Linked DNA regions of Lepisosteus oculatus. The protein of the gene in region 2 interacts with the protein of the main gene of each other region in a pairwise test. Links are inferred from orthologs where the notes say so. Each region holds a gene or a part of one and is shown on either strand. Other genes may lie near its edges.

Evidence for each region.
Region 1: the proteins of atf2 (region 2) and atf3 interact in binary tests that used the Homo sapiens proteins (3 or more experiments, as listed by UniProt). The link is inferred for Lepisosteus oculatus from reciprocal best matches to the Homo sapiens genes ATF2 and ATF3.

The regions. Positions count from the first base shown.
Region 1 is NC_090697.1:18,858,936-18,870,167, forward strand, and holds the start of atf3 (cyclic AMP-dependent transcription factor ATF-3), read right to left. Parts: upstream 5,370-11,232; 5' UTR 5,203-5,369; intron 1-5,202.
Region 2 is NC_090707.1:17,190,425-17,202,415, forward strand, and holds the start of atf2 (cyclic AMP-dependent transcription factor ATF-2), read right to left. Parts: upstream 5,232-11,991; 5' UTR 5,130-5,231; intron 5,123-5,129; exon of another isoform or gene 5,062-5,122; intron 5,056-5,061; exon of another isoform or gene 4,847-5,055; intron 4,039-4,846; exon of another isoform or gene 3,977-4,038; 5' UTR 3,955-3,976; coding exon 3,907-3,954; intron 3,681-3,906; coding exon 3,584-3,680; intron 2,410-3,583; coding exon 2,291-2,409; intron 1,837-2,290; coding exon 1,708-1,836; intron 1-1,707. Other genes in the region: atp5mc3a (ATP synthase membrane subunit c locus 3a), read right to left, coding at 8,193-8,307, 8,754-8,944, 9,385-9,462, 10,375-10,413. UniProt on the Homo sapiens protein: Transcriptional activator which regulates the transcription of various genes, including those involved in anti-apoptosis, cell growth, and DNA damage response.

The DNA.
Region 1 (11,232 bases), on a different chromosome or scaffold from region 2:
AGCTTTGAATCGTTGACTTGAACTCCTGTTCAAGACTGTGGCCCTTGACTGAACCAGATGGAAAGAAGAGATTATCTGGAGCAGAGCCCAGCATTTTGAGACCCAAAGATGTCAGGATGAGGAGAACTGAGAAGAGCTCACCGTGACTCAATTACGCAGCACATGACCACACATCACCAGAGACAGCACCCGTTCAAACCTGCTATTCAGGATCCTAAATTGGTTTTATCAGTCACCTTTCATGATGGGTTCATGGAAGGCTGTCATTCTTGACCATGAGGGATAGCCAGTGAATCAACTGTATACATCAAGGATTTCAGTTATCTGAGATCATGTTGTTCAGTGGACCACATGTAAATGTACTTTCTTATAGTAATGAGTTGTTATTATTAAAATAATTACTAATAACCACAATCTGGACATATTATATGATAAAATTGTGTGCACATAAAATACTGCACCCCTGGTTAACATTTTCTTTCTGTTCCTCCCAATCAAAAAAGCCTGATGAGGGGTGTAAAACAAACTGTTTTAATCTTGCAAAATGCTTTTAAATGGTTATGTTCTTTACAATAGAACATAAGTTATCTTTATTGTTACCTCTCAGTAAAGCTAAGGATCTGCACCTTTGGCTGGAAGGTTGCTGGTTCAAATCCCATGGCCAGCAGGGGAATCCTACTCCACTGGGCCCCTGAGCAAGGCCCTTAACCCCAGATGCTCCAGGGCTGCCATATAAATGACTGACCCTGTGCTTTGACCCCAAGCTTCTCTCCCCCTATGTGTGTGTTTTGTGGAGAGCAAGCTGGGGTATGTGAAAAGACAAATTCCTAATGCAAGACATTGTATATGGCCAATAAAGTTATCTTATCATAGCGAAAGTACAAGGGCAACTGATGACAAAAAAATTTAAATGAAGTAATATACGGTAATACATAAAAGTCACATAAACTAAGATAAAAGAGCTTTAAAGTTGAAAGAAATTCAGAAGAACCTGTAAAACTTTTTAAAAATAATTATATGATTATATTATTGACATTGTTTTCAAAGATAGTTTCTGATGTAATTCGAAATAAGACGTTTACCTATGTTCAGAACAGATTATTGCGTTTACACTAATTTTTTCTTTCTTTGTTTATTTCTTATTAATATGAGTAGTAGTAGAAGGTATTACTTAAATCCAGTAAGTGAAGTGCGGCAAGTGAACAATAAGGAATATATACATTATACAGCCAATTTAGTTAGGCAAAAATGTAATGCTACTCTCCAGACAACTTAAAACAGTCAGTATACCATGTACCAGAGAAATCTGGCATTTGTCAGTTAGAATGTTTAAAAAACATTTAATTGTTAGTTTGTATCTATATCAGATAGACAGGAACTTAACCTGCAGTCTGTTTAATAATAATATCCTTGAAACCTAGATGCAACTAAAGTACAGCAAAATATATTATAGTTCTTACTGTTTTCACATGTATCTATGATTTTCAGAAATTATTCTAAGATATAATTTTTCTCAAACAAGTTTAAGATTATACAATACTTGTATTTTTATATATACTTTTTGTTGTTTATTAGGATATTAAAAAAGACCCAGCTGCCTGAGAGAGAATTTTAATATTTGCAATTCACAGTTAAAGCAATAGTGAGAGTTGCATAGTAAAACGCATGTTTCTGTTGAGTTTCTGTCATGTCAGTTTTTATGCATTTTAAGGAACTAGGAAGGGATTGTGGAGTATCAGCCTCCAGTGGTAGCAGTGTGTCTTTTTTTAAAGTTAACTACATTAACCTCATCAAAGACAGTTCTTTGACTTTCATTCCTCACATACAGTCCCTTTGCTCTATCTGCGAGTTGTCATTTAAAAGAAACAGAATAAGTTTCAGATTTACAGCAGCTATGACTGTGTTTCAATTTTCTTTCTTAATTCCACAGTGTCCCTTGAAGTAACTCATGGTAATTATTACCCAATGTTGTGCAAGCTTTAAACATCAGTTAGTTCATACCTCAGAAATGCAAGATAACCTCTGACAGAATTTCAACCCAAAGCTGCCCACAGAAACATTTTAATTCACAGCTTGATGGAATCTTTCTGGGTCCCTGCTTTGCATTAAGTGTCCCATCCAGCAGTCTATCATGTAGCGTTTTAAAGGTTTGACATAATCCATTGATTGATTAAATAGGATAGATCAATTGCAAAATGTAACATATTAGAATTGATTTAACCTCTCATGCCTTGTTTGTTTAATGACACACTAGACTGGGTGAGGAAACTTTGAGGGTACCAGATCCAGATATTCAAAACCCTCAAAGGCACTGACGAATACAACATGGAGGACTTCCTCAGATTCATCAATAACACATGAACCATAAGACACAAGACACAAGTGGCATTTAGGTTTGAGAAAAGAGGGCACTCCTTAACCAAGGGGTTGAGAGGATATGGAATAAACTACCCAGCTGTGTTGTTGAAGTCGATACCCTGGGTTTGGGGTGGGTTGAATATCCTCCTCTTATTTGCCACCATTCTTATATTCAAATGCACCAGAAATACCCCACAAATGCATTGAAAAGGTATTTTGTAGTGGACTGAGATTTCTAATAAAATTGAAGGTGTTTCTTTATCTCTCAAAAGAAAAAAAAAGACTTTTGATCTCCCATACATTACAAATCTAAATAATTTCAACTCATCAGCTATTATGTGGTTTAAATAATATTTGTCATATTGTTTTGATCTTTTCTGCATTACTGTCATTGTCTGTAAACTTTCCTTTATAAAGTGCTATTTTATTCCCCTGGGCTGTAATTGTTTGAGGGGTTCATCAGTTGAAATTGCAAGTTTGAGAGCAAAGCTGACTTTGTTCTTTATAAAAAGTGTGGAAGACAGTACAAAACGTGTTACACTTGTTACTGTACATCTCTTTCCATTTTGGAAATTAATCAGATTTGTTTTGTAATGCACCTTTCATGACACATCTTATCAGAGCTCTTTAGTATAAAACAACCAAAATGACCTAATATGGGCTGTGAGATCATTCCATAGCCTTGAAGCAGCAGAAGAGAAAGCAAAGCAAACCAAAGTTTGAAGCCTGATTCTGGGAACTGAAAGAAGGCCAGAGTCCAAACAATGCAAATGATGTGTAGGTGTACTGGGAGATAACAGTTCACTGATGTAAACAGGAGTCTATTCAGGCCTTTAAAGGAGGGCACTGATATTTTAAGTTTTCTTCTGAAATGCATTTCATTCTGAAATGCAAGAGCAGACAAGGTAAAATAGGAGAATTTTTTAACTTCTATATTTTAGTTTTGGTTACGTTAGCACTTGAGCTCTGAGGCAACTTAATACATAAATAACCAGCAAGCACTGTGTTACAGTCATCAAGCCCGAAATCAAGAAATACCTACCTGTACACGTATTGGCTTGTTTGCATCAGAGTGAGAAAGACATGAGTAAATTACAAAAATTACAAAGTTACCTTTCATACATTCACACGTTTCAACATTGCAAACAGGAGTTCCAAATGCAAAGCTGATTTTAAAGCTAAACCGAGATTCCTGAGCTGAATGTATGGACTGATTCCAACATCAATGTCAAACTAAAGCTATAGTTACAAATTAATATACTGTACCTGATGTTGTGAAACCTAATGGAAATTCTATTGATGTTATTACACATCATTTATATGGCGCTATTTTTATATGTATGTTTACCAAATGCGCTTTACAGTCGCGTGGGAGAAATGTATGATGTCATCTGTCCAAGAAAAGGCTTGGTAACCTCCTTCCACAAACCCTTCAGTATTCACTTCAGATGAGTTTTAATTTAACTGGTTGCCTAAAAGCAATTTGACCTTTGACTCATTTGTAAGCAAGTGAAATTTTACATATGCACACTGGAGTGCAGTGAGAATGTGAAAATGTTATCAGAATGTTATCAGGTATCATGTTATACCTGTCAACCAGACACAAACGTCCAGATTCAGAGACAGTTTCTTCCCACAAACTCAGATTACTGAACTCTACCCCTACCACTGGCTCACACTGATGTTTTTTTTTCAAGATGTATGTTATTTAACTTGTTGTTGCTGCTGCTGTTCTGTGTCTACAGTACTTTTTTGGTGATTCCTTTAATGTCTTTGTATCGGAGCATACATGCAAATACGCATTTCATTGCACTTCTGCATATGACAGTAAACTGAACTGGAACTGGATAAAACAAAACATGTGTCAAAGGCAAGATAGGTAACACTGAAATTACTGCGCCCAGTATTATTTCGTTATCTAATTGGAAAGATACAAAGGAACATGGTAAGGGAGTAAGCCACTAGCCATGGATAAATGACTTGGTTAAAATTTACATGTGGTCATTACATGATTTCTATAACATTAGCCCAATGACGCCAAAATGAGCATATCAAGTTTGTCACGTTGCTAACTGGGTAGTTATTCCATATTAATTTTCATATTTCATATTACTTTTAAGAAGGAATATGATGCTACAAATTATTTATTCATTTCGCTACTGAAATGTTCCATTTGTACTTTTTTTTGTTCCATTTGTACTCCATTTCAAAAATAAGAAACTTTAAACGTTGCAATATATATATATTTCCAAAGTAAATTCTATATTGAGCAATTTACATTAAAAATCTAAAGTAACGTTCTGCATTTAAACAGATAATTTGAGAAACAAACATAAGACACATGTTTGTATTCCCTTTTGTCCTAATGAGAATTTTTTTAATTTACTTAAAACGTCACTTCGTTTATAAAAAAGTCGTTTAATTATGGAAATGTCTCCCACAATGTTACTGTCCTTTTGGAGATATGCCTCTTTTTTCAGTCCCCTTTATTGATCGTAATGTACATACACCCAGTCACATTGGATAATTTGTTTTGTCGATGCAATTTACGGTAAATCTGTATTACAACTTTAAGAGAGAAAACCATCTCCTGATGTACCAGCAACTGAAGAGGGAGATGGTCCCCTTTTCCGGGAAGTGAAGGAGTCATTTTTTTTTCTTCTGTTTTTGAGCAGTGCTTCAATCAGCTGAGAAATGAGAAAATGACAACTACAGCGAAACCCCTCCTCTACCAATAGATTACATAGGGAACGGGTACTGCAGAAAAGTCAAAATCAATGATGATCATTTGCGCTTTCTGTCTGGGTGACACATCGTGTTCCCGTAAAACCGAAGATTACTCACCCGGCGAAACTGATATAAACATTAGCGGCCTGGGCTCACCGAGCGCCTATTCTCGCAGAGTGACGTCATCTTGGAGGAAGACAGAAAGGGAGCCAGCTGAGCTGTAAATGTTAAACACTCGTTTTACTTGTTTTGAATATATTCACTGAGCTTTTGGACAGTGACAACAGGGAGCGACATTTAAAGCCAGGATATACATTTTAACATGAAACAGTATTGGCTGCTGTAATTACTTTACCCGAAAGGTGTAATACTTTTTATTTCCAGCGATGAGTAGCCTTTGTTGGAAAAAAAAATATGATTTGTTTATTGACTAGACAGAAACTTTTTCGAAATGTAACGCATAACTGCATTTTCAGATTTTCCTGCGATCAAGACCAGCAGAGCTAGCTTTGTCTGCGCAGCTCAAGAACTGTATATGCATTCTGTTGTTTTTGCAAACATTTGCCCATATAAAATTGTTGAGGCTGTTGTACTGAGGGTAGTTTTAACATACGCAGAACCCGAGTTAAATTTAATTTAATTGTGAATCTCTTACATGATGAGTGTGAATCAGACCATCGTCATTTTTTAAATGGGTGTGTGGCCCTTACTCCTTAAAAGCGTAAACAGGATTTCTCGTTTACATTATGAGTGTACACCGGTCCCTAGTATTTACAAAGGGACGGGGCTTTTTTTTTCCATCACATAAATTCCTGTGATGGAAAACAAGCTGGGTCGTTAAATCAGAAATCAGTTTCTTTTTTTATACCAGTCTCCCAGTTCTTTTAATAGTGGGTTCTAATTTCTTAACAGTATTTTGGCAATATGTAAACTTTAAAATAAAGCTAAACTGTAAATCAAAGTAAGAGTCTAGAGCCTTCAGGAACTGTAAAATATTGGTTTTCGATCTCGTAAATTGGGGTTGTACTCCAGACCAAAGCTCTCAATTACTGCCGTGAAAATGAGGAACTACAAAACCGTTCCCCATACCACGTAAATTGTCAATTGACACATGCTTAGTGTGACTTAGTAGAAACTGGGTGTTGAATGGGAATCAGGGCTAAATTTTGTAAAACATTTTCAGTTCGATCATGAACTAGGATTTAACAGGAATGTGTGGATTCCCTTGAATAGAGACATATAGTACAGTTTAAAAAAGACTTTCACAGCAAATTCTTATACTCATTTTGCTTAAAGCATTAATTGTTAAATTAACATGTAAAAACTATGTTTTTTTAAAAGCAATTTTTTCTGTATATTAGCTTAGGTAAGCAACAAAAAATATATATTAATATTAAGCAATAGTATAATTCTAGAACTGTATTATTGAGAAAAATGTAATGCCAGGTGAGTGTATATTGAATTATATCAAAATCACACACGATCTGTTGAGCTGGTATTTTACAAAATGTATAACTATTTCCACTGATACTAAAAAAATAACATGTTCCTTATAACTTTAAAATGCAACTTTTGAAAAGGACTCAATAGAAGATATTGTGTTATTTCTGTATCTATATTAATTGATACCAGGACTGCCTGTAAATATATTATGGTTTTAGTCATGGTCTTTAACATGGGCTATGGTCATCATAGCTGTGGCACAAAATCTTTACCATCACAGTTTTTCCTATGATCCTGAAATCGGCTTGTTTTTAAAGCATATTTACAGAACTCTGTTATACAATAGATAAATAAATAACAATAATTGTTTTGAATTTCAACTTGTAGTTTAGGTTTCTCTTACAACTGAAATAACAGTTCTTTCTTCTTTAAAAGATTAAAAGAGAAAATGGTTTTCTAATTATGACAAAGCAAAATCAGACATTTCTTGAAACTTCAGCACTTGTCATGTCGTCACCCTCCTGTTGTCTTACAGCAGGTATGATGGTTGTGGAAATAATTTGTCAAATGATACTAGTGCTGTGACGTCACTTCCTCGAGATTCAGTTCACTCTACTTTCGTAGACAAAGGAGCAAGACACCTTCCTTTATGTGAACTGTGATAGAAGTGTCCCAAAAATTCCACACAGCTGGGGGCATACTCTATTAAAAGAAACAGGCAAACTCATTTTTAATACAAAAATAACTTCTGTGACTCAGCATAATTTTAACCTTGGTGACCAGATTGTATCATTACATGTAGAATGACTCTGCTTCCTTTAAATAATGGTTGTAGTTTCCTTATTACATTCAAGCATTGCAGAAGAGTAGAAGTCATGGCTATTTTAAAACGAAGTTAAATCGGTTCTGTGTCTTCTGTTCTCAGCTTTGAAAGCGAGTAAGTTGGTGTATATTTGTTTACCAGGCTATGGCCATAGCAACACTCTCCCACTGCCTTCTTGCCAAATCATCTTTCATTTCAGATGTTCAGACTGCTGGGGAATGCACATCCCAGCTTTCCAAACACTCAAAAAGCTCCAATCCTTTTCTTCTTTTCAAGGAATATATGTCTGGTATTGTTTTTGTCTTATTTGTCTGTTTTGGGTTCAGACTAGTTTAACATCCCCTTATGCCTCATCAAATTATGTGAAACAGTAGTCAAATGTTTTTTTTCTTTATGCATCATGTGAAACTAATATTCCTGTTCCAGGCTTATTTTTGGCCACAATAAAACACATATCTTTTGTAAAGAAAAAAGTTTTGTATTTTCATATCCTCATGAGAAAGCTGCATAGGGTCGACTAAACCTTATTCTTACCAGTGTTTCAGTTAAGTTTTTAGTTATATTTTGAAACCATAACCACTTACTATAAGTTATATTAAACAAGTACAGGCCAAATTCACCTGTTGTTATTTGAAATATAATGAATTTCTGGAAGTAATATGTAAGAAAGATTGTGCAAAATATGTGATTTGGTAAATGCAATATTTGTAAATGTTTCTTGGCAGTTGTGTAGCTTATAATTGGGTTGTTTTTCAAAGCACCATTGTTTTAGTTTTATAGAGGGACCTGCAATATGGCAACAGCTCAAACAGTGAAGAATATTTTCACCTGTCAGATTTTGAAAGTCTGCTTGGCTATTAGATTAAATGCCATTGTGTCAGTCCTGAGTCTGGACCAAGGTTCATGAGCTGACCTTTGTCCTTAATCAGAAGTGAAAGTGACGTTGCTCTCAACATTTCATAAGTTGAGTAAGCAAGGCTAAATGACTCAGCAGCTCTTTTACCATTGCTTCCAGCATCTTCTAGACAGACAGAACCACTTGACTTTCTATGCACCGGTGTTTTTTCTAAGTTTGACCCCAGCAGCCACCCACAGTTTTCTTATGGACTTAAACAGAAACAACACCACTTTCTTACTTACACTTTCAAACTGAGAACCTCGTTTCCTGTAAGTATTTATAGTGAAACAGAAAACATCTGTGCAGGGTGTGTGTCATAGTCATCTCAATGCTGTTTTCCCTTGAAAGGTGTACCCAAGCCATTATTATGATGAAAGAGGAAGTGAAGGCCAAGACCATGACCGGGGTTAGAAGTGTGGATTAATGGTAAGGACTCTGGGCCCCTGATGGCACGGCTGTATGGGCAGAATTACCTCCTTTAAATTCTTGGTTGGGATAACTATTGATTTATGATAGTAAGGTCATGTCACGTCATTTGCCAAACCGGTTTATACCTTACAGTGTTGCAGAAAGCAGCGAGCGCAAGTCAGGGTACACCCTTGTCAGGGCGCCAGCCCATCACAGGGCAGGTGCAAGCCATACATGGGGACAATTTGAAGGCCACAGTAAAGGCCAAGGGGGAAAATTTGTCCTGGACACCAGGATAACTCCCTACTCTTATCCAGAAATGCCCAGGGATCTTTAATGACCAATGAGAGTCAGGGCCTCCTTTGTTTAATGTCTCATCCAAAAGACAGCACCCACTACAGCATAGTGTTCCCGCCACTATACCGGGGCATTAGGACCCACACAGACACCCCCTGCTGGCCCCACTGACACCACTTCCAGTGGCAACCATTGCTTCCCAGGAGGTCTCTTATTCAGATACTGGCCAGGCTCAACCCTGCTTAGCTTCAGTGGGTAGCCAGTTGAGAGCTGCAGGGTGATATACTGTACCTGCTGGCACTAACAGTAAGGTGCCTTACCAAAATTGCTACAGAAAACTCAGCTGTAAATTGTCACCACAGTATGCTTGTAAAACTTGGTTAATTGTAACCTCTGGGAATCACTTTAGCCAAATGAATGAAAACAACAACGCACCTAGGACAGAAAGAAGCTAATGAATGGACTGTATAACACTAATGTTCAGGAACTAACTTTAAATTAGTTATAATAACAAATTTATATTTTATTAGCTATAAATAAATTGCAACTTTAGTTGCAATGTTAATTGTGTTAAAGCCCACTCTTCACAGATGAGTAATATTCTGTGGAAGCCTCTTAATGATTAACCGTATCAAAACTGAGCTTTAATTGAAGATGATTCAACTCTTTTAAATGAAAATTAAATTAAACATTAAATCAGCACAACTATTAAAACTAAATTATTATATAGAGGCTACCGTGATATCATTTAGTCCTGTGAAATATTTGGTCATCATAATAGAAGATGGAGAAGAAATAAGCCAGCAAATTTTGTTTTATGAGACACAGAAAAGAAAGATATTGCTCTACCATTTCCTAAATGTTTTAAAATGTAATTTCCCAGCACTGACAGCAATTAACACATTATGCTTTACTGTTAATATAAAGAGTAACGATAGGGAGGAGGCTATCTGGTCTGCCATAATTGCCTAGTACTTCATACTGTAGCTTATTGGCCCAGGTTTGTCAGTCTCTTACCAATAAAAGTACTGAATATTCATAGTTCTGAGCTATACTCTACTTATTGCAGAATTACATTACAGTAATGAAGCGAGTCATGTGTTTTTTTTTTGTTAACATGCTGTTTCCAATTGGTGATATAAAATGGATATGGAATACGGGCTATGATGATACCATTGATGCATGATGAGTCGTAGTCCAATAGGAAACCAAAGGTAAAGTGACATCACCTCCCTATTCCATGGTCTGACTGAAGGCTTCCCGCTTCACTTTAATAATAAATGAGAAGCCTGACTGCATGTAAGTGCCTCATCAGCGGTCCAGGCTTCTACATCACTGGTTGTGCCAGTGCTACAGTGAGCAGTAACACAGCACTGTTTCTCAGCCTCCCAGGGGTGTGCCTGCTCCCATGTACTGTATTTTGGAAAGACAAGCCACAGCGTATTCTTATTTTACAGTCCTTAATAAATTTAGCATAACTCACTAAACTACTCAGATAACCATCTTTTGTTCAGGTCATTTTTTAGGCTATTATTACTGCATAGAAAAGGTAGATATTTATAGAGTATGCCAGTAGTTCTTCACAGTACTGAATACTTAATGTATTACTTAGCAAGTATCTGTTTTTGATACTGTTTTTATATATCATACTGTTTTGATATATAAAAAGGGAGAATTTCTCTCTCAGTAAGGAGACTTTCTGTTTTGTCTTTAATGAAGGTTTAATAGTTCACATTTCCCTACCCCAAAAAGGTAAGCAACTTCTCTATGGCCTCAGGCAAAGACACAGCAAGTACATACAGTAATAGCATGGTTTATATATTACCTTAAATCATCCGGACTACCAGTAAAAGTATCAGGCTGCATGTTACTTAAAAAGGTGTTACTTAAAATGGCGTAATAGTCATTAGGTTTGCTGCCTTGCAGTGTTGGGGCTCTGGGTTCAATTTCAGGCCTGGGTGCTATCTGCATGGAGATTTTATGATTGTATTTACATGGGTTTTTGCCAGGTGCTCTGGTTTCCTCCCATAGTCCAAAGACACAAAGACATACTGGTAGATCACTTGGCTTCTGGGAAACGTGGCCCTGGTGTGAGTGTCAGTGGTTCTGTTTGTGTGTCTGCCCTGCAATGGAGTGTCCAGGGTAAATCTTGCCTTGATCCTGTTGCTTTATTAATTAATTATAAATATTGATCTATTTAATGTTCTTACAAAGCTATTTGGGATTGTTCCCATTTTTATATAGCTAGAAGTTTTAATAAGCAAAATTCAACTGCAGT
Region 2 (11,991 bases):
TCACCTCCCAATAAATACAAACTAAGACAATAAAGCTATTTTAAAGGTTTGTTTAGTAAGCATATGTTTATATTGTATAAAATCCATCCATCCATTTTCTAACTGCTTCATCAAATTCAGGGTTGTGGGAGCCTATCCCAGCAAGCAACAGGCACAAGGCAGGGTACACCCTGGATGGGACACAAACACAGACGCACATACACTCACAACACCGCCAAATTTCCCAGATGCGAACTGCCCTACCAGTATGTGTTTGGACTGGGAGAGGAAACCAGAGCATCCAGAGGAAAGCCACAAGAACATGGGAAGAACATACAAACACCCCTGGATTTAAACCTAGGGCCCTAGCGCTGCAAGGCTAACCACAGTGCTACCCGACATTGTATAAAACCTTAAATAACTAAAATAATAATCGAAAACTCTCAACAAGGAAATAATATTTGCAATGTTATTTGCAAGACTTTATATTAAACAGGATTTAAAAATCTGACAGAGTGAAGGACAGAAGAATGGAATGAATATAACATGAAGGTTCATATGCTAAACATTAACAGACATTTAACTTAAACATAACTTATAATACAGCTGTACAAACATTTTGCGTAAAATAAATATATTCGCTTCTCTTTTGGGGTTCAATCCTCTGGCTGAGAGTGGACCCCGGAATGCAACCCCTCCTTATTTACACGTACATTCAAAACAACTTTCCCTATAAAAATAACATTTTTTTCATTACACATCATGTTTCAAGAATGTATCTGCCCCACAAATCAAGAACTACCTATAATTTCTTAAATTTACACACCCCACATGCCTCCCCAGTTTGCTTCAATTTTATTTTTCAAATGTTACATAATTAAGACTATTTTACAGCTCTTTTTTCTGTTCACTTAGTCTTTAGTACCGGTACAACAAAATGTTAGTACGGCACTCTCACTTTATGAAGGCAAATGGCACAGATGCAGTTATTGGTAAGTACGTCTGTCAAACTGAAGCGAACAGAAACAGAGGGCAAATAGCAAAACCACTACCAGAATTACTGCAAACTTATAACGAGTCTCCAGAAAAGCAGTAACATTGCAGTTTATAGCTGTTTCCATCAGCAAAATCAGCCCTGTTGAAATTCTGTGCACATATTCTTATGGATGATGGGGCTGGAGGGGAATTTATGCCGGTTTTCCTTGGAGATACAGATTTATTTGTGATGTGATGTGGAATATATTTTAACATGCCGACAGTAAAATAAACCATAAACATCAATGCAAACATTGCTGGCAGCAGACTTGTTCCGTACAGAACACGATTGTGCTCCTTTCAATATGAGAAAGGTTATGGTTCACAAAAGAAAGAAAACTTTGCCAGAACAACGTACAAGGTACATCAAAACACTTAAATTTGTTTTATCTCTGGATATAAAAGGGTAGAGATTAAAAAAAAAAACACTAAAGCAAAGAGCCTCTAATACCTTCCTCTTTTTATGTGTGCCTAATTTCTACAGCAATACATCACTTACATCTGTGCCAGCACAACAAGGCAATTGTCAATTAATATTAATTACACTACTGAAAAAAGTTCAACACAGAAAAAATGCATTGATTGTTCCCAAAAAACAGAATAATCTGAGCCTTTCTTTGGTTCCATCTCAGCACATGTAATAGAAAGATTTGGAACTACTCCAATCTACAATGGATTTTCTGTAGAATTTACCTTGTCGTCACTTGTAGTAGATTCTGGGTGAGGCAAAGGACTGTCTTGGTGAGTGGTTTCCACAGCTGATGGCTCTTCAGTTTTATTTCTTACAATGGGAGTTGCGAGTGGAGACAAATCTAAGGGTAGCTGAAATATGGAGGCATCGTGAACCGACAAAAACAATCTTAAAAAGTAAACGAGAAACCAAAAAAAAAACTTTAGTGGCAACAGTCTCAACAATTCCTAGGTGGCAAATTTCTATTAATAACAGTATTGTTTAAGAACAGTATGGCAACTAATTTTGCACTAGTCCTTCAAAATAATGTAAAAAATAAATTACATTTTATGTTTGTTTGTGCACGTGGAAACTAAATGGACCTGCATTCTAAACAGAGAACAGGAGGCACCTCTTTACCCCAAGTGTTGTGGGAGTATGGAACAAGCCGACCAGACATGTTGTTGAAGCCGATACCCTGGCTTCTTTCAAGAAACGACTGGATTTGATCATTCAATCAATTAGCTACTAAATACCAAATGGACTAGAGGTGCCAAATGACTTCCTCTCGATTGTAACCATTCTTAGCATCTTAATAAACGTTACCTTTTTGATGTCTTCTTCTGTTGCTTTTTTGAAGTCATTTTCAAAGGGACTGGCCAATTCATTAAATAGTCCCACTTCTTCACAATTCTTCAAAAAACGGGTTGGTGTTGGAGTTTGGTCTGAAACAATATATAACAAAAGTGTCTTTCAGTTGATTCAACAACAGCTACCTATTAATGAGAAAGATTTACAATGTGAGCTCTTTTTATCAGTTGAGGAACAATAACAAAATGCAAATCTATATTATTTTAGGTGGGTAGCTGCGTCAGCATGCGTAGCCTGCAAAGGAACAAGTAATGGGTTTATTCCATGCTGAAAAAAAGAAGAAAGAGAACACAACGTTTCGGCTGTGGAGCCTTCTTCAGGTGTCAGGTAATATATTATTTTATGTTGAATAGCACAAATACACACACAAATCACAACTTAAAAGTTATGGCTTTGCTGCCTATGTTCTCCCATATTGAAAATATAAAATAGCAAAAGATGGTGATAACTTATAGGTAAGACCAAATGATGCACTATGAAATGCATTACAGCATAGCCAACTGTAGGTTTTCAATGGCACTTTTCCTACTATTTAGATATATTTAAAATTATATAATGGGCTTTTCTAGAATAAATTTACAACAACCATATATCTCCACAATGTCTGGAACTGTTATGAGTCAGGCTGGGGTTTTAAGATTTCCTTTCCACTGAAAGAAATGAACACGAACGATTTGATTACACGATTGCCAAGACAAATTCCATTGCAGTCTAACTGCAAGGCATGACAGACAAGATACTCCAAACAGCCACTTCTATGACTGACTGATCACACCGTATCAACAGCTGATGAGTATTTCCAACGTGGCCAGAAGACAGGCTGAGAGCACATTTTTCATAACTCTCAAAACAGAAACAGCCCCACTATATTTGTCAGTGAAAAAAAACTAACTTTCATCGGTCTCACTCTGCTGCAGTCAGTAAATACGTCAAAGTCACCCTTTATCTTCTGGTATCTAATAAAAGCTCAGCAATTTGCAGTTTTTCTCCTTCAGCTTTTAAATGTTGGTTTTAGGTATATGTGCAACACAAAAAGGAAGACAACGCATGATTACTCTATTAATTGTTCCTCTATTGATAGATCAATGAAGTTCAACATGTATCTCTTCCGTTACGTCAATACAAGCAAATTCTATTGATAACATTTTTCATACCTGAATTGACATTTTTGTCAATTTCCTACACTTTAGATTCTCTTTCCCTTGGTAAATACTCCCCACTTCCTGGGATCTGCAGTTTGATACTCACCAGCAACGATGACACTGTCATTACGCGCTGGACCAAACTTTAGTGTCATCTCATGTTTGTGTTTGTGGACAGCCAAATGGTCTTCATTAGTAAAACGCTACAAAAAATACAACATTACATTAAAAAAGGTATTTAGGATAATGAATCTCTAAATGATTCAGCCAACAATTTCATGAACTGAAATATTTAGGCGGGTTGTGTAATTTCTAATTCCTGGTTTTGCAATGTTACTGTCTTAAGGTTAAGTAAAACAGGCAACCAATAAAATATTATATCCAACTTTTATTTTTAAAAAGAGTTTCAGAACTGCCACCCATACATACCTGACCGCATCCAGGAGCAGTGCATACAAAGGGTTTGTCATCACTCATATTCAGTAGATACTTTTATCTCCTAGATGAGAAAGATACCACACTTTCAAGACCTACTGTCACGCGTAATCACATCATGGACCACTGCAAAAGGCGACAAACCATTTCTTAAATAACGTTTAGTCTCGATTTCAACACAAGCATGCAAGAAAAAAAAACCACAATGAAAATATGACTACGTATTGAAAACGTCTGTAAACTTTAAGCCCGGGAGATAACACAGAACACATTACAAATACTTCAGGTGACAAATCGTTGGCGATTCTAGGAAAGTGTTTTCTGCTTTCCTCCTGAAGTACTCACACACACAGCTCAGCATTCTGGAGTGACTGACACGCCAACAAGCCTTGTGCATCATAGAAAAGGTCTCTAGCTCATTGGACAAATAAGCATAAAACTCGTTTTAAAACTAACATAAACATGCATGGAAGCGTTATACAGCTGGCTTGGTTGGTCTCTCGTTTATTTTCAAATTTAACCGTGCCGAGCATCCTCTTCAGTTGCATTAAAAATTAACGCCGGTCGAACACAAGGTATTGATATCCTTTCTGTCAAGTAATCGACTCCCATTCAGTGTTAGTGTCGTGTGAGGTACTCTTAAATAACTTAATCGTAGTATTTCTCAGGGCTAACCTTCTCTAAGTAAAGTGACAGTGATGTTCTTCGGCGAACAGGGAACAAAAAGAACAACTCTGGATTGCTGTGTTGTAAAACAGCTTCTTTTTTTTTACAATACCTGCATGTAAAAGATGCTACCTGTGCCCTACCATAACAGCAGAAGTTCTAGATATTCTATACAGAGGACTTAGATGTGTAAACAATAATGCGGAGGCTGCATTACGAAGACTGCAAAAATGCACATATACACACTATGTTAATGAATTAAAATCACATTTAGGGTGCCTGGCGAACATTACTGTCAAGATGCGGTTTCTTGTTTACAGTCCATCATCATTATACCATCCCAGTCTCTTGTCTTGGGTTGGGTATACCCCCGTCGCCATATTATTATTATTACTACTGTCACTGCAGTATAAAAGCATTCATCGCCCGTTGACAAAATAAGTAGAGACTGCTACTCTAAACTGCTTTCCAGCAGCAGGCTACCTTAACCGGTGTGGCAGTCGTTGTTTACCACGGCTGTCACGGTTTATACGGCCTGTTTACACACTTACCCACGGGCTCAACCTTTCTCACGGCCAAATCCCACGGGCTGCCGCCAGATCTCGCGACCGCTGCTCCAGCGCGGACACTTCCGCAAGCGTCACGAACGTGACGTGGCGTGCGCAGAACGGGCTGAGTGGTCGTACACGCGTGCTTTAAGGGCATTTTGATTCGAGAGGGTGGGGCAGAGGGTTGACTAGCTTTGATTCTTCTTTGTGCCGGTTAAATAAGACAAACTTTAAATTTTCACCTCGTTCTTTACACGGAATTGGAAAAGAAAAACTGAAGTTACATATAGAAAGAACACTGCTTCGTCTCTTAATATGCATTTCCAGTGTTAACATTTTGGATATTCATCGTTGTGAATGTATTTAGTATTAAATATGAATGAGACAAAACTACTTTTTACATTTACATATTTTAAACATGTTGGTGTACACAATACGTGACATAAAGGCTTTTACTTTCAGGTGAGTCCTCAATGATTTAATATAGACACGCATACTTTGCTAACGAGATGAAAACATACTCCAGTTTTATTTTTTGCAGGAGAAAAAACATTTTACTCAAATGAGGCCAACATGTGCCACGTGTTTTCAGCTTCTAGTACTGATGTCAAAAACGTTCCATCCAAAATCCGAAGCTTCCAGCTTCTTTCAGGTACAGGTAGGAGACTAACCAGCCAGCAGCACACAAACCATCACCCATTGTTCTTCAGTGTGTGCTTGGCAACCTGTACTTTAAAAAAGGAACAGAACACTTTTTTTCAGGGGTTAACCGACTCAAAATCTGGAAGACATCAGTCAAGAGTGCCAGTTTCTTTAACTTGGACTGCACATGTCAGAGTTTCCTCCATGTCAGACACTCTTCCAATATTCACCAATGAAATCCATTTTAGTCTTAAATACCCTAGAGGAGGGAAGAGCCATAGGATCATCTAACTTTTCTTCCACCTCTGGTTTAAATTACTTTGTGTAAATCTGTCCAAGAACAGAAAATTTATAAGGACTTAACGTGTTGCTAACTGAAAAGCACCTTTTAATTCTACAGGAATTCCTCAAAAGATTGGATTTGCCCATACCTGCCTTATAACAAAGACAATGTTGCTATAAAAATACTCTGATATAATATACTGCAACGGTGTTCAAAGACGATGCTTTCCGATTTTAATCCTCACATTGCATGTTTTCCATAAAATAGCATGTATCTACCTGAAGGATGCTATGCAGATCATATGCTTCAAGAACATTGAATGAATACACAATACTGTCTATAATTCTAATGTAAAATTTAGTCTTCACTGTAGGCCATTAGTATTTCAGGTGGGTAGCTGCGTCAGCATGCGTAGGCTGCAAAGGAACAAGTAATAGGTTTATTCCATGCTGAAAAAAAGAAGAAAGAGAACAACGTTTCGGCCGTGGAGCCTTCTTCACACCTGAAGAAGGCTCCACGGCCGAAACGTTGTGTTCTCTTTCTTCTTTTTTTCAGCATGGAATAAACCTATTACTTGTTCAGTAATATTTCAGTCAAGCTTTTCCCCTCATTGCACACGTACGACACATAATAATGTAAGTTCTTAATGAAAAGTATTCCCATATCATCACATTAATGCTGAACAAATGTTCCTAAAAGCTTTGAGTAATTTCGAAAAGCAGTGTATAATTTAATCATATCCACTTTGTAATGGTATTGAGATTTTCGGCTGTGAATTTGTGACGGCTCAACACTATCCTGATTATACTGAGAAGCAGCATCCAACTTACATTCATACTCATTTATCCAGCTAGAATTTTACCGGAGCAATCTAAAGTGCTTTGCGCAAGGATACAGCAGCTTCCACTGGGTATTTAAACCAGTAACCTAATAGTTCAAGTTCAGAACCTTAATCCCTGCATTATGCTTTTTCAAATAATTAAAGCAGTGACCACACTTTGAGGTGCAACACAACTAGGCCTATTCTTGCTTCTAGTTACAGATGAGAAGAGACCATTTTTCACAATTCTTACCCATTTGATTTCTAACTGATCCAATGACTATTTAACCAGGTAAAGAAGCTGGGAGACCTAATCATCATGCTACTGCAGTTAAACCACTTTAATTCATATAGACTCATAGATGTGATCTGTACGGAAAGTGGGACATCTGCAGATCATGAACCTTGGACCAGTTTCTGCATGACCTTTTCCAATATTACCTGTTAAAAATGGGAAATGTCACTTCAAAAAAGGGAGAAATATGAATACAATCAAAGTGTGTAATATGAAAAAAAACTAAAAATGTGTTTAATAATAATTGCTTACACTTATATAGCGCTTATTCTGGACACCCCACTCAAAGCGCTTTACAGGTAATGGGGACTCCCCTCCACCACCACCAATGCGATGGCAGCCATAGTGCGCCAGAACGCTCACCACACATCAGCTATTAGTGGGGAGGAGAGCAGAGTAATGTAGCTAATTCATAGAGTTTAGAGAGTTTAAGGATTCAGAGATTCCCATTGTAAAACGCATCTGCTTTTTTGCACGTTTGTAAAGACAAAGTAGTTTAATTACCTCAAACAGAGCTGGAAACACGTCATCTGGCTCCAAATTTGTAATTCCAATAAAATGAAACCTGCCATTTTGATCCCAAATTTTGCACTGATATTTTTATTCATCTAAGTGACAAAGCACTTTTTCTTGCTTAATGCTATTGCAAAAAAAGTCTACATGATACAAAGGGTGCTTTTAAACTTTATCCTTCAATTGAGTGTATTAAGTGTTCAATAAGAAACATCTTTTGCTTTCAATGTACTGAAATGCACAAATATTTTGATAACGAGATTTTAAAACAAACCTTGATTCCCAGAACACAAAACGGAACTGTGATTTGAGACTTTAAAAAGCCAATACGTGTATTTTAATTCTGTCATTGGTTACATTCTTACAATGTTTTTATTTTTGTAGTTTGACAGTGTTCCAACAAAATCCTGAAAAATGTACACTTTCATGACACCAACACAGAACAGTTTTAGTAACCACTGTAAAACACGTAGTTACATCTAATGTAGAATTAACATCCGAAGCAGTTTTTTTTTACATGGCAAACAAGATCAAGAAAGCAACCATCAAACAGAACAGACCCATGGCTTCAGAGAGGGCAAATCCCAGAATAGCATAGGAGAACAACTGTTGCTTTAGGGAAGGATTCCTGCAGGGGCAAAGAAATGAAAGACTGCAATTAGTCTTCTGTAAAAACAAGTGCTACAGATTACAGTTGTTCAGTACCAATTTAACATGAATTTACAGTGAACCGACCTACCTAATTAACACTTTCTTACCTTTCTTATTCCCCAGTGGATAAAGAAGGACTTCGGAATGAGTTTAACACAAAAATCTTAAGTGTGAAATCACAAAAAAAATCATTGTTTTGCAATGGATGAAACTTTTTCCAAAAAAAAATTGTAGCTAGAAAAAGCAGTTCTGTGAACTCTCAGAAACACTCAATTCTGAACACACCTACTTGCGTCCCTGATGAAAATCTTAACAGATCTACAGATGAATCCAAACTGTATGACCATCTGAGGCTACACTGACGCTGCCTACCTCTTGTAAGAGCACCTCTGCCCTGTGCTCCAAAATGACGATGTTTCTCACCTGGCATAGCCGATGATAAGACTGCCAAACACTGTCCCGATTCCGGCACCAGATCCAGCCACTCCTACTGTGGCGGCACCAGCACCAATGAACTTGGCAGCTGTGTCAATGTCCCTGCTGACGGCACTGGTCTGGAACCCCCTGAGCGCCAAGACAGAGTTCTGTGGCCCGCTCACAGCTGCAGCCTTGCCCTGGAAAAGTTTTAATTCTTTGTAGAAAAAGTAGAAGGGAAAGAAAAACACTTCTATCTGGATGCAGCTTATTTTAATCATTTGGGAAAGTACTTTAGGAATGTAACAGGAGGCCACTGGGCCCATAATGTCTGTTTGGTAATTTCCTCATTGATCCAAGGATCTCCTCCAGCTGTTTTGTGAAGGAAGCCAGAGTACCGGCATCAGCCGGGTAACTTGTTCCACCCTCCCACAACTCTTTGGGTAAAGAGTCACCTCTGTTCTCACTTTTAAAGGTCACAGCACAGACGTTCAGAGGAATTTTCATGTTAAAGCACATCGGCCACTAAGGAATGTAGGTCTGCACACTAAACAAAATCCAATAAATGGAATTTGATCCCAATATTCTACCAATCTGAAATGACATTTTCAAGGACTGAAGCACTACTCTTTAGACTCACCTCTCCTGTTCTGACCTCTGGCCGGGACAGCACTGATGCAGAGAGAGGTCTGCACAGAGCCCGAGATCCAGCACGGACCTGCACCCAAAACAAACCCCACATCAACCAGGGAACACACCTCATCAGCCCACACCTTAAGGGAAACTGACTTCATTTACATCATCTTACTTCACTGTAGCTATTTAAGATAAAACAAAATGCACCTATAGAAAACATACAGTTAAGGGCAAGTATTAGCATGATCATAAAATAATGTGCCCATGCAAAGTCCACCACATACCCAAAACGTGGATTATGGGAGACGAACAACAATTTGTAAATAATTTCTGAGCTTCACTGAGAAGAAAGGAAGAGATACAGCGTCAATATATTGAGCTCTCTGAAATTATTAAACGTCTGTGGCGTTTAAATCTTGAACAATAATCAATTTCAATTCCAGGTAGATATTTAGTTTTTCAGTACCAAAGGTAATTCCAGTACTTTAATCATGCTTGTTGTGCTACGTTTCGGCCTCCTTTACTTGTGTCCTGAGTTAGAGGACATATCTCAGCTGCAGAGCAAGGCAGTAAGGCCCAAGCCCTGAGCACAGCCTAAGTCATTCAAAAAATAAATCGCTGTCATTTTCAAACTAAAAATTCCAAATGCACCATTATTTACTTGGTTTACCCCTTACCGAGGTTTGAATTATACTGTGCAATTAGAAAAATAGCACGACTTTGACTAAAAAGGCCGGATTTTTTCAGCTTTTATATCTAGATATGAGTTCACTTTAATATTGATAACTGCCCTTTTGTAACCATTGAACAGTAAGTCGTTTGTATTTATTTTTTTCCCCATTTCATTCTAAAAACTGAAGGGGCCTGTGTGAACAGAAAACGTTTAGAAAAAAAAATAGGAAAAACTCAAGTTCAAGACTAGGCCCGCAATGAAATAAGAATAAAAGACCAGAAAATGTGGTTTTTGAAAATCAGATGTGGTACAGAAACTCACCAGAGCAGGCGTGGAAACGAATTTAGCACAAGCGTACATTCTGTCTGGATTTATTGGTTGCTGAGTTCGGAATTGATCATAAACCCGGGTCTGTCTCTGTGAAGAACAAGGGAGAGTTAAGGTCAATGGAAATTCTGCTCCTAAAGTCTGCAACAGCAACACCGAAACGAAGATCACGCATGCACAGATAATGAAAACTCATGAAACCCAGAACCACTACTTAATTACAAAGATCCCCAGGACAGGATGAGATGGGATTGTAAATGTTCTATTCCTTCGCCTTTTTCTTGCTTCCCCTTCACTTACCGGCTACAGAGGTCGAACCGATTAGAAACCACTGCGCATGCGTCTGCTTCTTTCCCTGCAAACTCCCGGATGGCGGCTGTCAAGGTCACTTCGCTGCAACTTTATTGAAAAACAGAAGAACTGACAAGTTACTGTTGCACTTGATTGGAACCAGCCGAGGGTTACAGTACGTTGCGTTTGTGAAAATAAACGTCCGCAATGACTACAGAGGTAAACCCAAAATCAAAAGTAATTAATCGAAGACGTGCAATTTTCTTTGGGGATGGAAAACTGCACGGAACTAATTGATTCTGTATAAATCAACGTTTAAACATTTCTTTTTAAATTTAAGGTGTCTATATATATATAACATACTTGTACAGTCCTTAAATTAAAACAGTGACATTCAGAAATAGAAAGACTCCACTACTGTTGAAAGCTGAAATCTATATACTTGGCCTTTGGGCACATTCCCTGTCCTCTCAATGCAGTTTAATTTGCTCTAATATCATTACTAATTAGCCAACAGCCATATCACCCTTCAGCTCTCAACTGGCTACCCCCTGAAGCTAAGTAGGGTTGAGCCTGGTTAGTACCTGGATGAGAGACCTCCTGTGAAGCAATCATTGCTGCTGGAAGAGGTGTTAGTGTTACCATTGGGGGGCGCCCACCCTGCAGTCTTTGTGGGTCCTAATGTCCTAGTATAGTGGTGGGGACACTATACTGTAGTGGGTGCTGTCTTCAGATGAGACATTAAACTGAGGTCCTGACACTCAGTGGTCATTAAAGATCCCCCATATGCAGCACTGTACATATAATGTGAAAAACTGACATGAAAGATGTTACATTTTAAGTCCATTGAACAATAAGTTCTATTTAAATAAGATCATTGATTAAAACTACAAAGGAGGGAATCTTATAAAATACAAGTGATGAGGGATACCATAAAATACCTAGAAAGTGCATGCATACTAAAACAAGACACCTATACAGTTGCGTAATCAACTTGGATTGACAAATAACCGTCATTTCTGGTTCTAGATTAATTTAATTAGTGCAAACATCGTATAGTGTTATACGTCTACCTATCCATTTTCTACCCCCTTCTTCCAGTTCAGGGTCATTAGGGCAAGGCAGGATATACCCTGGATGGGACCCCACTCCATCACATTTGTGGACATACGGTACAGGCACAAACTCACACACCAGGGTCCATTTTTCCAAAGTTCATTTAACTTACCAGTGTGTTTTGATACTGTGGAAGGAAATCCATGCGAACCTGGGAAGAACATACAAACTCCACACATATAGCATCCCAGGAACTGAACCAGG